Oryctolagus cuniculus: one gene and its partner. The protein of the gene in region 1 interacts with the protein of each later gene in a biochemical or structural test. Links are inferred from orthologs where the notes say so. Each region holds a gene or a part of one and is shown in the gene's direction. Other genes may lie near its edges.

Evidence for each region.
Region 2: the proteins of RBX1 (region 1) and CUL4A form a complex in vitro, tested with the Homo sapiens proteins (6 studies listed by BioGRID, with this or other methods). The link is inferred for Oryctolagus cuniculus from reciprocal best matches to the Homo sapiens genes RBX1 and CUL4A.

What each region holds. Positions count from the first base shown.
Region 1 is NC_091442.1:117,031,366-117,038,135, forward strand, and holds the start of RBX1 (E3 ubiquitin-protein ligase RBX1), read left to right. Parts: upstream 1-2,972; 5' UTR 2,973-3,211; coding exon 3,212-3,289; intron 3,290-5,091; coding exon 5,092-5,170; intron 5,171-6,770. UniProt on the Homo sapiens protein: E3 ubiquitin ligase component of multiple cullin-RING-based E3 ubiquitin-protein ligase (CRLs) complexes which mediate the ubiquitination and subsequent proteasomal degradation of target proteins, including proteins involved in cell cycle progression, signal transduction, transcription and transcription-coupled nucleotide excision repair.
Region 2 is NC_091440.1:733,516-740,426, reverse strand, and holds the start of CUL4A (cullin-4A), read left to right. Parts: upstream 1-2,524; 5' UTR 2,525-2,644; coding exon 2,645-2,792; intron 2,793-2,878; coding exon 2,879-2,994; intron 2,995-6,911. Other genes in the region: PCID2 (PCI domain-containing protein 2), read right to left, coding at 1,847-1,882. UniProt on the Homo sapiens protein: Core component of multiple cullin-RING-based E3 ubiquitin-protein ligase complexes which mediate the ubiquitination of target proteins. As a scaffold protein may contribute to catalysis through positioning of the substrate and the ubiquitin-conjugating enzyme.

The sequences.
Region 1 (6,770 bases):
TGGCACAGGCCCAGGGACTTCAGCCATCTGCTGCTGCTTTTCCCAGGCTGTTAGCAGGTAGCTGGACTGGAAGTGGAGCCAGCAGGACTTGAACCAGCACCCATATGGGATGCTGGCATCGCAGGTGGCAGCTTTACCTGCTATCCCACAACACTGGCCCCAAAGAAAAAATATTTTGTATAGCTGTACCATGTGGTTGTGTTTTAAGCTAAATGTTATGACCAAAGAGTCATGGCCATAGGGGATGCTGGTGTCACATGTGCCAGCCTGATCCACTGTGCCACAAGGTTGACCCCTTACCGTAGTTTTTCTATTTTAGATACACAAACATTTTTTTTTTTTTTTGACAGGCAGAGTGGATAGTGAGAGAGAGAGACAGAGAGAAAGTCTTCCTTTGCCGTTGGTTCACCCTCCAATGGCCGCCGCGGCCGGCACCCTGCGGCCGGCGCACCGCGCTGATCTGAAAGCAGGAGCCAGGTGCTTCTCCTGGTCTCCCATGGGGTGCAGGGCCCAAGCACTTGGGCCATCCTCCACTGCCTTCCCTGGCCACAGCAGAGAGCTGGCCTGGAAGAGGGGCAACCGGGACAGAATCCGGCGCCCCGACTGGGACTAGAACCCAGTGTGCCGACGCCGCAAGGCACAGGATTAGCCTAGTGAGCCACGGCGCCGGCCTATACACAAACATTTTCCATTGTGTTACAATTTTCCACATGTTTGGAACAGTAACACGAGGTAGTCATGACCTGTGCACAAAAGGCCATACTATTTGGCCTGGTAGTAGGCTATATATATTTATACCACCTAGTTTTGTCTACCTGCACTGTTCACACAACAAAAGTACCTAACACAATGCTCATTTCAGAATGTATCCCAGTGTTCCTCAGGGTGTGCCTGCGTATGTAAACTGAACAGGGAAGCAGATCGCCAGGGCCATTGAGGCCCCTGTAAGGACCCCAGCTTAGATGCCACTCTTCTTAGAGGCCTTACCTAACCACTCCAGTTAATGGTGCCTCCCCCTCTCCTCAATCTCATGGCCTTGTTTTGTTTTCCTCAGTGCACTTACTGGTACCTAAGATTTCCTTTTGTAATTATTTATTGACATGTATTATTTCCCTACAAGAAATTTGATTCCTTCATCACTGTGTCTCTCCTGTTTTAAAAACGGGACCCAGTACATTCTCAAGACCTTTGTTTTTGTTTTTTAAAAGACTGCTCGATCGATCGATTGATTTTTTTTTGTTTTGTTTTTTTTGACAGGCAGAGTGGACAGTGAGAGAGAGAGACAGAGAGAGAAAGGTCTTCCTTTTGCCGCTGGTTCACCCTCCAATGGCCGCCGCTGCAGCCGGCGCACCGTGCTGATCCGATGGCAGGAGCCAGGAGCCAGGTGCTTTTCCTGGTCTCCCATGGGGTGCAGGGCCCAAGCACCTGGGCCATCCTCCACTGCACTCCCTGGCCATAGCAGAGAGCTGGCCTGGAAGAGGGGCAACCGGGACAGAATCCGGTGCCCCAACCGGGACTAGAACCCGGTGTGCCGGCGCCGCAAGGTGGAGGATTAGCCTATTGAGCCACGGCGCCGGCTCGATCGATTGATTTTAAAGGTAGTGTTACAGAGACAGGGAGAGATATTCCATCTCCTGGTTCACTCCCCAGATGGCCACAACACCCAGGGCTGGGGCAGTCCAAGCTAGGAGCCTGGAACTGCATCTGGGTCACCCATGTGGGTGGCAGGGCCACTAGCCCAGAGCTGGATCGGAAGTGGAGCAGCCGGGACTCCAACCTGCACCCACGTGGGATCCTCGCGTGGCAGGTGGCGGCTTAACCTGCTGTGCCACAAGGGTGGCGCAATACAGTTTATTGTTGTTACGATTTTTACTTATTGGAAGGTCGGAGTCAACTCTTCCATGGGCTGGTTCACTCCTCCGACGGCTGCAACGCCTGAGGAGCCAGGAATTCCAGGAACCCAAACACTCGGGCCACCTTCTGCTGCTTTCCAAGGCGCACTAGCAGGGAGCTGGATGGGAAGTGGAGCAGGCGGGACTCAACCCAGCACCCACGTGGCATGCGGCGTCACAGGTGGGGGGGGGTGCTAAGCGCGCGGCCACAATGCCCCCCAGTTAATTTGTTGGGTGATGGATAACCAGGGCCTCGGAAGCTCTGCCATGGGCTTCAGGAACTCCAGGAAGGGTCCGTAGGCACACATTAATTAACGGCAGCTTTACCCCAGACTCCTTAAAGCTTGGGCTAAGGAACTTCGTGGGGTTCCTGCGACCCCCTCGGGTCTCCCACAGTCTCACGGGGGGTCTGTCGTTCCTGTTTGGGATTAAGAAGGAAAACATTCCAAGTCCCTCCGGCTTCGCGTTGGAGGCCACGGCGCCAGATCGAGAGGCGAGAGGGGAGATTTCAAATAGACGGGAGGCGGGAGTGAGACCCCCACCCCGGGCGGTTACAGCCGTGGAAGCGAGGCCTGGTGCAGGCTTGGAGGGAGGTAGACCAGAAGACGGGGCGAGGCCAGCGGTGGCAGCCGCCTGCCTCACAAAGACGCGGGCCCTCCAGGCCGACCGGACTCGCCACTGGGGAGGACGTTCGGGGGTCTCCTCCTCTTGCCCGTCGAAGCCCTGGGCATTCCCCGAACGGGCATCGGGGAAGCCAGCCGGTGCCTGGTGGGCCCGACAGACCCCGGCCGCAGGCCTCGCAGGGTGACTGGCGCTGGGGCCTGGGCTCCGCAGCGGGACCAGGCCGGTCCGCAGAAGGTCAGTGTGGAGTCCCGCACCGCGGGGCGCCACCCCCGCCTCTTCCCCGCGCCCGGACCAGCAACGGTGCCGCGGCCTCGGCCAGGTTGGCGGCCGAGGCGGAGGAAGCAGCCGCCGCCGCCCCGGCCGAAGGCAGTGCGGCCCGGGGGCTTCCCGGGGAAGGGCGACGAGAGCGAGCCCTGTCGAACGTTTCCACTCGGCTCGCTGCAGGCGCCTCGGCCCCGCCCGGCCCCGCCCCGGCCCCTCCGGCCGCCGCCTCCTCCCCGGCCGACGTGAGGGGGGAGGCCTGCGCCAGCGCCTTTAAGAGGCGTGGCCATGGGCTCCGCCTCCATCTGCCCCTCGCGCGCCAGTCGGGGGAGGGGTGCGGGAGGAGGCGCCCGGGCGTCAGGGGGTGGGTGGGAAGCGAGGCGCGCGCTACTGCGCAGGCGCATTGGCCGGACTACAGATCGTGTGTTTCCAAAATGGCGGCAGCGATGGATGTGGATACCCCGAGCGGCACCAACAGCGGCGCGGGCAAGAAGCGCTTTGAAGTGAAAAAGGTTGGGTCTCGCCAGCGCCTTCCTCGGGGAAGCTAGAGAGGCGCGGATCTGGCTGGCAGGCCCTTGGATGACCGAGGCGCGGAGGAAAGGGCTTCAATTCAGGGCGTTCCTAGGACCGGGTACCACGAAAGGAAGCCGGGGGGCGGGCCTTAGCGTTGATCGGCGTGACGGCGGCCCACTGTCGAGCGCAATGTTGAGTTCGCTTTGAGGCTGAGGGGCCAATCACGGAGGTGCTTATTGAGATGCGCGGGGTTGCGACTGGGCTGCGGGAGCCAAGCGCCGGAGCTGTCACTGAAGCGGCTGAGGGGTGGGGGGAAGGACCGGGCGGGGTGGGTGGAAGGGGAGTCGGAGCGCTGCGGCGGGTGGAGGATGGGGTGGTGTGGCGAAAGCCGAGAACCTGAGCTCTTACCGCACTGGAGGCCTCTGAGGAGCCCGGCTGGTGACCTCCCCGCCCCGCCCCTGTCTGAAGCGTGGAGGGTCCCCGACTCGTCCCTCCGTTAGCCCCTCTCGGGCCCGGCCCCCGCCCGGAGTGTGCAGCTTGGCTCTTGGGGGGTCGTGTGTCGGCTTGTCACACAGCCGCCCCAGCCTTGTGGTGTCACGTCCAGAATCTCCCTCCAAAAGACATTTTTAAAAAAAAAATCATGGTGGAATTTGTTGAAAAGAAAATGTCCCAGTCTCGTGCCGTTCGCGGAGGATCGCGTGCTGGCTCCGAGCGGCCTGGCGGAGACGGGGGCAGGAACACATGTAGACGCGGCTTTTTCTTTTTCTTTTTGGCGTGAGGTCTGCCCCCTCACTGCTTTCCCCGAGCCGGCAGCTCTGGAGAAAAGTGTCGATTCCCACCTAAGGTGAAATAAATCTGGACAATGAAGGTTCCGACCTAGGGGAGCTGCGCTTCCTGGACCATCGTCCAGGCGCGGACGCCGGGCCCTCCGAGTGCGTTTCGGCGTCTCATTGTGGCCGCCGCTGCCCGCCTGCTGCCAGCAGCCATGTTGCGGACTCGGGGCTTCTCCAAGTTGGAGCTGAGGTGTGGAGAGTGCTGGCGAAGTTCCTAGACCTGAGAGCTGGCCTGGAAGGAGATGAAGGCTTGGGTGGCGGCGCCAGACAGTGGGTGAAAGGGGAGTTTGGAAGTTGTTTCTCATAATTTTTTTAAGATAAATCCTTACTGGAATTTACTACATGTTAGAGTTGCAACATACGAAAGTTGAGAACATCAGCTTATTTGATAAGAACGAAAGATTCTAGTAAATTCTGCCGTTTGGAAGTGACGGCGTGAGGTTCAAGCGATGACCTTGTTCTGGGTACCCACCCTGGGTCACCAGTTATCCAGCTTATCCCACGATTACCCACGTTATTATCCAGTCATCGTCTTAGTTCATCCTGTCCCTAGCGTTCACCTCCCGCTCCTGATGTTTATGCAGATTTTGAGCCCTGCAGCTGCCAGAAAAACCTTCACAGGAATTCAAGTTTGTGCTTATTAATCCTAAAGCAGGCACTGAAAAACTATTCCTAACTTGGCCTACATTGATATGACTGACTAAATTATTTTAAACTGTAGGGAAAAGAAATAAAAAAGGTGACTCATTCATTTCTGTATTCCTATACCAAACCTTTGGAGAATGGGCCAGCCTACATATAGCTTCCAGTTGTCCCCTAATATAATAAATGAGAATAATGTAACATCCAAAAACTCTTTTGTCTGGTGGTCCCTGTGGCCCAGGTGGGTAACTGCAGCTGCAGCAGGAAGCGCGTGTGTGCGTGACATTACAAGGAGAGCGCATTGTTCCCCCTTTTTCTCTTTGCAGTGGAATGCAGTAGCCCTCTGGGCCTGGGATATTGTGGTTGATAACTGTGCCATCTGCAGGAACCACATTATGGATCTCTGTAAGTAACTGGAGGAGGGTGGGAGGAGGTTGAGAGGCTACAGGGATTGTGGCCATCCTGAAGTGGCCAGTTTCCTTCCTCACCAGGAGACACAAAGCACAGCATGTGTGAGGCCTTTTGTGTTTAGTCCACTGGGGTGTTGGAAGGAAAGTAGTTTTTTCTGAAGTCCTACATGCATACCCAGCTCTTGGAATAAGTCCACTCCACACAATCTTAAGGATGGCAAGGACGCTTTTAGAGTGAATTTTGGACACAGAGATGCTGTGTACTCTTCTGTATCTCCCGTCTCATACTCAGAACTCCAAGGCAGACATAGTGAATGGAAGAAAGTAAACTCTGACCTAAAATATCCTACATGAGCTAATTTTTGCTGGGCGAGATTTACACTCCGCCCTATCTGTGGGGTCAGACAACTGCGGATCAGAAATACATATGCGTTTTTTAATGTCTGTACTGGACAAATATATCCTTTTTTTCCTTGTCATTATTCACTAACCCATACAGCTTCGCAATTGTTTACATAGCATTTACATTGTATTAGGCATTGTAAGTTACCTGGAGATGAACTAAAATAAATGGAAGGTTGTGTGGAGCAGCCAAGTCATGAACCAGTGTCCATAAGGGATGCTGGTGCCCTGGATTGAGAATTTTTTTGGGTGGCCGGTGCTGTGGCGCAGTGGATTAATGCCCTGGCCTGAAGCACCAGCATCCCATATGGGTACCGATTCAAGACCTGGCTGCTCTACTTCCAATCCAGCTCTCTGCTATGGCCTGGGAAAGCAGTAGAAGATGGCCCAAATCCTTGGGCCCCTGCACCCACGTGGGAGGCCTGGAAGAAGCTCCTGGCTCCTGGCTTTGGATCAGCAGAGCTGTGGCCATTAGGGCCAATTGGGGAGTGAACCATCAGATGGGAGACCTCTCTCTATCTCTCTTTCTCTGCCTCTCCTCTTTCTGTGTGACTCTGACTTTCAAATAAATAAAAAAAATTTTTTTTTGACAGGCAGAGTGGATAGTGAGAGAGAGAGACAGAGAGAAGGGTCTTCCTTTGCCATTGGTTCACCCTCCAATGGCCACCACGGCCGGCGCACTGCGCTGACCCGAAGCCAGGAGCCAGGTACTTATCCTGGTCTCCCATGGGGTGTAGGGCCCAAGCACTTGGGCCATCCTCCACTGCCTTCCCGGGCCACAGCAGAGAGCTGGCCTGGAAGAAGGGCAACCGGGACAGAATCCGGTGCCCTGACCAGGACTAGAACCCGGTGTGCCAGCGCTGCAAGGTGGAGGATTAGCCTAGTGAGCCGCGGCGCCGGCCATAAATAAATCTTAAAAAAAAATTTTTTTTTTAAGATTTTATTTGAAAGTCAGAACTACAGAGAGGCAGAGAGAGAGAGAGAGGTCTTCCATCCGCTGATTCACTCCCCAGTTGGCCGCAGCGGCCAGACCTCCGCCGATCCAGAGCCAGGAGCTCTCGGTCTCCCACATGGATGCAGGGGTCCAAAGATTTGGGCCATCTTCTGCTTTCCCAGGTCATAGCAGAGAGCTGGATCAGAAGTGGAGCAGCCGGCACTCAAATCAGTGCCCATATGGGATGCCGGCACTGCAG
Region 2 (6,911 bases), on another chromosome or scaffold:
GCCATTTGGGTAGTGAACTAGTGGATGAGATCTCTCTCTCTCTCCTTCTGTCTCTCCTCCTCTCTGTAACTCTTTCAAAGTAAAGAGAGAGAGAGAGAGAATGAATGAGAATAAGTACAGGCAAGGAAACACTAAGATGAGTTACTGTAGCTTCTCCGGCCTCAGACAGAAACTGAGCTGGGTGCTGACACCTGGAGCCTCAAGAAGAGGAGACGTTGTAGCCATGAGCTGGGGGGGGACGACACCCCTCCCCCTCCTGGGGCCTCCTGGGTTCTGACAGTTGCTGGCAGTACAGGCGCTGCAGGGCCCCGCGTCCCTCCTGACTCGGGCTGTGACTAGGGTTGCTTAGGCAGCAGGATGCCTGGAGACACAGCAGTGCCTCCCTCCAGGCCTGGCCCTGGACAGCGGCAGACTCGCTGGCAAACTGATAGGAGAGCTCCCACTTCCAGACGCCTGGCGCTCGGCGGAGGCGTGCACTGAGGCTGGCACCAGCAGCACGGCCACCGTGGCAGCCCCACCGTCTGCAGCTGGCTCCCCTGCTGCTGCACCTGGACAGCCAGGCCAATGGCCCAGATGGCAACCACTGCCGCTGGCCAGGTGTGGGCACGCGCTGCGTCATGCCGTCACCGGGGGCTGCTGCGTGGGAAGGACGGCTGAGCCCACCTCCCTCACCAGGAGCCTGGGGGAGCCCAGCCAGGGCAGCCCACGGATTCCTCTGAGTCAGAGGTCAAAGTGAAGGCGTGGCCTGGAATCTCAAGAGGCGATCAGCAGTCCTGTGCTGGGAAGAGCTCCCCTGCGCCGGCGCTGTCGGAACAGGGTGTCCTAGCTGTGTGCACACCACTGACACGAAGTTCAATTCGGGTCTGGCAGATGTTTGATCTCCTGAAATGAGCTGTTGCAATGCTACTGTTTGAGTTAAATAAACTGATTTTCCCCAAAAAATAAAATAAAGCCGCTTGGTAATCAAGATCAGAGTTCCCCTCCTGGTTCCAAGTGCCTGTACCCACCTGGGTCATCACTTGACCCCTGTGGGATTTGAGATTAAAAAAAAAAAAAAACGCACACCCCAGAACGATGCCAATATGCTGACACCACGGGGTCTGCTGTGCGGAGTAATACCTAGGTCCTTGGGCTCTGTCCCGAGAACCCAAGACACAGCAGTAGGCAATCTCTCCCGCCCTAGGGAAAGTCAGACCCACTTCCTCCCCAGAGCTACTAGGAACCCATCACAGGGTGCTGAAATCAGGAATGGAGGCGGGTGCAGGTGGACAAGGTCCCTACGCTCGCAGTCCGACGCGCCAAGAAACATCATCCTTTGGAAAACTCAATGCTGAAAACACGGCCTTGCGACCAGAGCCCGGGCCCGCGCGTCCCGGCGGCGCCGTCTGAGCCCAGAGCCTCGGTGTGGCCGCTTCTGTGCCCTGCAGCTGCAGCGTCAGACACGCAAGGCGGGGCGAGGTTCACCAGGGGCAGATGCCGTGGGGCTCTAACTCCCCCAGCTCCCACGGGTCCCGTTCCCAGGAGATCGCGGCCGCGGGGTCGCGCGCCCTGGCCGCAGAGCCAGCGCGCAGGCCGCGGTAGGAGCCCAAGTCCCGCCGACCCGCGTTCTCCCCCGCATGTTACATCCGGCCGCCATCCCGCGTCGACAACCCGCCACTTCTAAAGCGTTCCAGAACCCCGGACACCCGCGGCTGAGCGACCGTACCGGCGCCGCCCCCTGGGAAAACCCGAGGGAAGTGGCCTCCGGCAGAGGCGGGCCGCCCGGGGCTCCCCGCACCCCGCACACGGACACGCTTCGGTGCGGCGGCCCTGCGCCAGCAGCCACGCAGCGCCCGCCAGCACCCACCTGCTGCAGGTACTGGTTGATGGTGATGTGCGCCATGGCGCGGCCGCCGCGCAGCCTGCGCCCGGTCCGCCCGCGTCAGGCCGCGCGTCACTTCCGGCCGGCGGTCCGTCCACCGCCAGGCGCCCCCCGACGCCAGCGTCGCTCGCACATTGGTTCCGGCCACAACGTGCGCCGCAAGCGCCGCCCCGGCAGCTCGGCGCCGAGCCCGGTGGAGGGCGGCCGGGGTCTGGCGCCGCTCGCCTCGCGCGCTGGGGCCCGCGACCCCTCTCGTGAAAAGCACTCCCCGCAGCGACGTTCGGCTCGCGGCCGCAGCCGGCCCGGGCGCGCCCCCGAGTCCACACACAGGGTGCCGGCGCGCGCGCCCGCAGACTAAGATGGAGGGCGGCCTCGCGCCCCCTCCTCAGCCCGCCCTCGGTGGGGCGGCGGGGGTCCGGGCGCGCGCCGCCGCGCCGGCGGCCGCGGGGTGCGGCGGGCTCCGCGGCGCCGGCTTCCCGCGCAGCCCCGCGCCCCCGAGGGGAGGGGCGGCCCGGCGCGCGGCCCGGCGCGCGCGCCCCGGAGTCTGAGCGCGGCGTCCCGCGCCCGGCGGCGGGAGGGGCGGGCCGGGCCGACGGCGGCGGCGGCGGTTGGGCTCCGGGGCGCGGGCGGGGCGGGGCGGGGCGGCCTCGGCGCAGGCCCGGACGGAGGCTCGGGAGCCGGAGCCGGCGCCGGACGCGGGCGGACAGGGCCGGAGCCGGGCGCACGGGGCGCGGGGCGCGGGGCGGCGTGCCCGGGCGGGTCGGGCGGCGTCCGGCCGCGGCCATGGCGGACGAGGCCCCGCGCAAGGCCGGCGTCTCGGCCCTCGTGGGCCGCACCAACGGCCTCACCAAGCCCGCGGGCCTGGCCGGCGGCCCCAACAAGCCGGGCGGCGCGGGCGGCTCCAGGAAGCTGGTCATCAAGAATTTCCGAGGTGCGGCCTGGCGGGCGCGGGGCGCGGGGCGCGGGGCGGCGCGGACGCGGGGCGGCCGGCCGCGCCTGACCCTGCGCTCTCCACAGACAGGCCGCAGCTGCCCGACAACTACACGCAGGACACGTGGCGCCAGCTGCACGAGGCCGTGCGGGCCATCCAGGGCAGCACCTCCATCCGCTACAACCTGGAGGAGCTGTACCAGGTGAGCGGCCCGAGTGGCCCGGGGCCGCGGCGGGCGCGGGCGCGGGCGGCACGTGACCGCGCGGCCTTCGCGCGGGCCGCGCTTATGTAAAGTGCCCGCTGCGGGGACGGCCCGCGCGCGTCTGGATGCGGTTCGCCGTTGCGTGTCCGGGGTCGGGAGGAGCGGCCGGGGGCGCGCCGCGTGGGGAACTTGGAAGCCACTTGGCGGCCCCTCGGGAGCGCGCTTCCCCCCGATGTGCGGGGAGCTGTGCGAGTTTTCCCTGCAAAGCCTTGGGCTGTGGGTGTATTTGCGTGACGTTAGCGGCGCTGCGCAGTGCCACGGAGGGCCTGTAGGCCCCCTGCGTGTCCCGCCACCCACCCTGCCGGGGCCTCCCTTATCCAAACTCCCGGAATGCTCCAGAACCTGACACTGAGCACCGACGTGGTGACACAAGTGGAAAATTCCACACCTCGTCGCACGTAATGGATCCCAGCGCGAATACGGAGCACTGGGCGTGAGAGGGATACCTGTGCTTGGAGCTGGAGCCCCCCCCCCGCGCCTGTGTGCGTGTGTGCGTGACAGGGCGCGTGTGAACTGGCCGGCCTCTGCGTCTCTCTAAGCCGTTCTCTCATCGTTTACATAGGATGTGTAACTTGGGTCTTACTAAGTTGTTACGGATGTGGACGTGTCTCCCCTCCCAACCAGCTCCATCGTCTTTACTTACTTGTTTTCTGTCCCCATAGCTTGCTGTTTCTGGAATCTCATCCAAATAGAATCATGCGTTTTGCATGTCTGACTTTTTTTTTTTTTTTTTTTTGCTTAGGGTGGAACTTTTAAAAAAATTGTTTACTCTCATTGTATTTGAAAGGGAGAGGAGGGACGGAGGCAGAGTTCTTCCACGTGCTGGGTCATTCCCCCAGCTGTCCACAACAGCAGGGGCTGGGCCAGGCTGAAGCCAGGAAATCATCTGGGTCACCCACACAGGTAGCAGAGCCCAAGAACTCCAGCCATCATCTGCTGCCTCCCGGACTGCGCGTTAGCGGAAGCTAGAATTAATTGTAAGTGGAGTCACAACTCAGACCCAGCCATTCTGATGGGCGATTCAGGTGCCACAGGTGGCTTCTCGCCCACAGCACCACACACATACCCACGATACTTCTGAAATCCATGCACACTATGTGATAGTAATTAGCTTGTTTACTATTTATTTATTTGAAAGATAGAGCCAGAGAGAGAGGGAAAGAGACAAATACGGAGATCTTCTGTCTGCTGGTTCAGTCCCCAGATGGCTGGGCCAGACGAAAGCCAGGGCCCTAGAAATCCATCAGGGTCTCCCATGTGGGAGGCACAGGCCGAGGCTTTGGGCTATCTACTGTTTTCCAAGGAGCATTGGCAGGGAGCTGGTCAGGAGTGGAGCAGCTGGGACTCCAACTGGAGCTGGGTCCCCATAATTTGTTTCTTTGTATTCCTGTCCTGCTTGGGTGTACTGTGTTTGGCTTATTCTTCACCAGTTAATGGACACTTGGGTATCAAGTTTTGGGTTACAAATAACGTAACAAACATTCTCATTCCTCTGGAAGTAGATCCCCAGGGTCCCGTGGAAAAATACTTGTTCAACTGTATAAGAAATTTCCGGGGCCGGCACTGCGGCACTGTAGCGTAGCTGGTAAAGCCACAGCCTTCAGTGCTCACATTCTGGGAGTCCCAGCTGCTCCACTTCCGATCCGGCTCTCTGCTATGGCCTGGGAAAGCAGTAGAAGATGGCCCAAGTCCTTGGACTCCTGCACCCACGTGGGAGACCTGGAAGAAGCTCCTGGCTCCTGGCTCCTGGCTTTGGATTGGCCCAGCTCTGGCCGTTGTGGCATTTAGGGAGTGAACCAGCAGGTGGAAGACCGCTCTCTCTGCCTCTGCCTCTGCCAGTCTGTAACTCTTTCAAATAAATAAATAAATCTTAAAAAAAATAAAGAAATTGTGGCCGGCGCCGCAGCTCACTAGGCTAATCCTCCGCCTAGCGGCGCCGGCACACCAGGTTCTAGTCCCGGTCAGGGCGCCGGATTCTGTCCCGGTTGCCCCTCTTCCAGGCCAGCCCTCTGCTGTGGCCAGGGAGTGCAGTGGAGGATGGCCCAGGTGCTTGGGCCCTGCACCCCATGGGAGACCAGGAAAAGCACCTGGCTCCTGCCATCGGATCAGCGCGGTGCGGCGGCCATTGGAGGGTGAACCAACGGCAAAGGAAGACCTTTCTCTCTGTCTCTCTCTCTCACTGTCCACTCTGCCTGTCAAAAATAAATAAATAAATAAATAAATAAATAAATTTCTTGCTTTTCAAAGCGGTGGCACCATTTACTAAGTCCCTGTGTGCTCATTTGCTATTCTGTGAGTGTTTTTGATGAACTGTCTTCAGATTTTCTCATTCTCATTGAGTTTCTTTTCTGTTATTGAGTGGGTAAGCTTATTACATATTTTGGACAAATGTTATATCAGATATTGGCTTTGCAATAATATTCTCCCAGTCTGTGGCTTGTCTTGATTCTCTTAAGTATGTCCTTTGAAGAGCAGTAGATTTTTTTTTTTGTTTTTATTTTCCCCCCAAGGAAACCTTATATTTAAGGAATACAGACTTCATGCATTTCATAAGCACAACTTCAGGAATACAGTGATTCTTCCCACCATACCCACCCTCCCATTCCTCCTCCTCCCTCTCCCATCCCCAGTCTCATTCTCCACTAAGATCCATTTTTCAATCAACTTTATACACAGAAGACCAGCTCTGTTCTAAGTAAAGAGTTCAATAATTTGTCCTCAGCTGTCGAGACAAGGTTGTTCAGAGCCATGGCATCTTGAAGTTAATTTCATTTTTTTAGAAGTTTAATTAACTTTAAGGAAGCATCCAAGAATGATACATCTTTTAGGAGCACTTAGACGTAGTTATAATACAACTCACTGAGGACAGAGGTCCTGCATGGGAAGTTGGTACACAGTGATTTAATTAACAATTAACGCTCTGTATGATGTCAGTGATCACCCGGGGCTCTTGACATGAGCTGCCTCGGCTGTGGAAGCCTTGAATCCACAAACTCCATCAGCGTTTAGACAAGCCATAAGCAAAGTGGAAGTTCTCTCCTCCCTTCAGAGTTAAAGTGCCTCCTTTGATGAGCACTTCTGTCCGCTGGAGTTCACCCACCGAGATCCTTCACGTAAGACATTCTTTGCTCCAGCGTCTGGAATTTCCATGCCTGAAATGCTCTCGTGGGCTTTTCAGCCAGACCAGAGTGCCTAAGGGCTGATTCTGAGGTCAGAGGAGAGCAGTTTTAAATTTTGAACGCAAGAGAGTCAGTCTGTTCCTTTCTGAGTTGTGCTTTGTGTCCCAGCCTATGTCACGAAGATTTTCTCCTGTTTCCTTCTGGACACTTCTGAGTTTAGGTTTTACACTTAGAGTGCGTTTTTGTATGTTATGAAGTGTGAATTCACGTTCCGTGTTCTGCAGCGTCTTGATTGAAAGACTTCTTTCTTCTGAGTCGCTTCTTTCTCAGCGAGGATCGTTGTCCGGCGAGGAGTGCTTCACTAAGTCGTGGGGTCGGAAGGTGTTATCCCTCCAGCTGGGTCCCTTTTCACATCTGTTTTGGTCCTGTTCTTGGTCCTTTAAATCTCTGTATGATTTTGGAATCTGTTGGCTAAGTTCTGCAAGTAAGCCTCCTGGGACTTTTGTCATGTGTTTGGGGACCCTGGTTCAGCGTTGGGGGAATCGGTGTCCTGACACTGCGGGGTCCACTGACTGTCACAGAAAGCAGCTCTGGTATTTTTTCATTTCTCTCGGCAGCATTCTCTAGTTTCAGTTACAGGTCTTACAGATCTTTTGTGAGATTTATCCCTTGGCAGCTCATACTTTTGATGGTGTTTTGTACATTATTCTGCACCCTGCTGTTGTGTCATCTCACTTT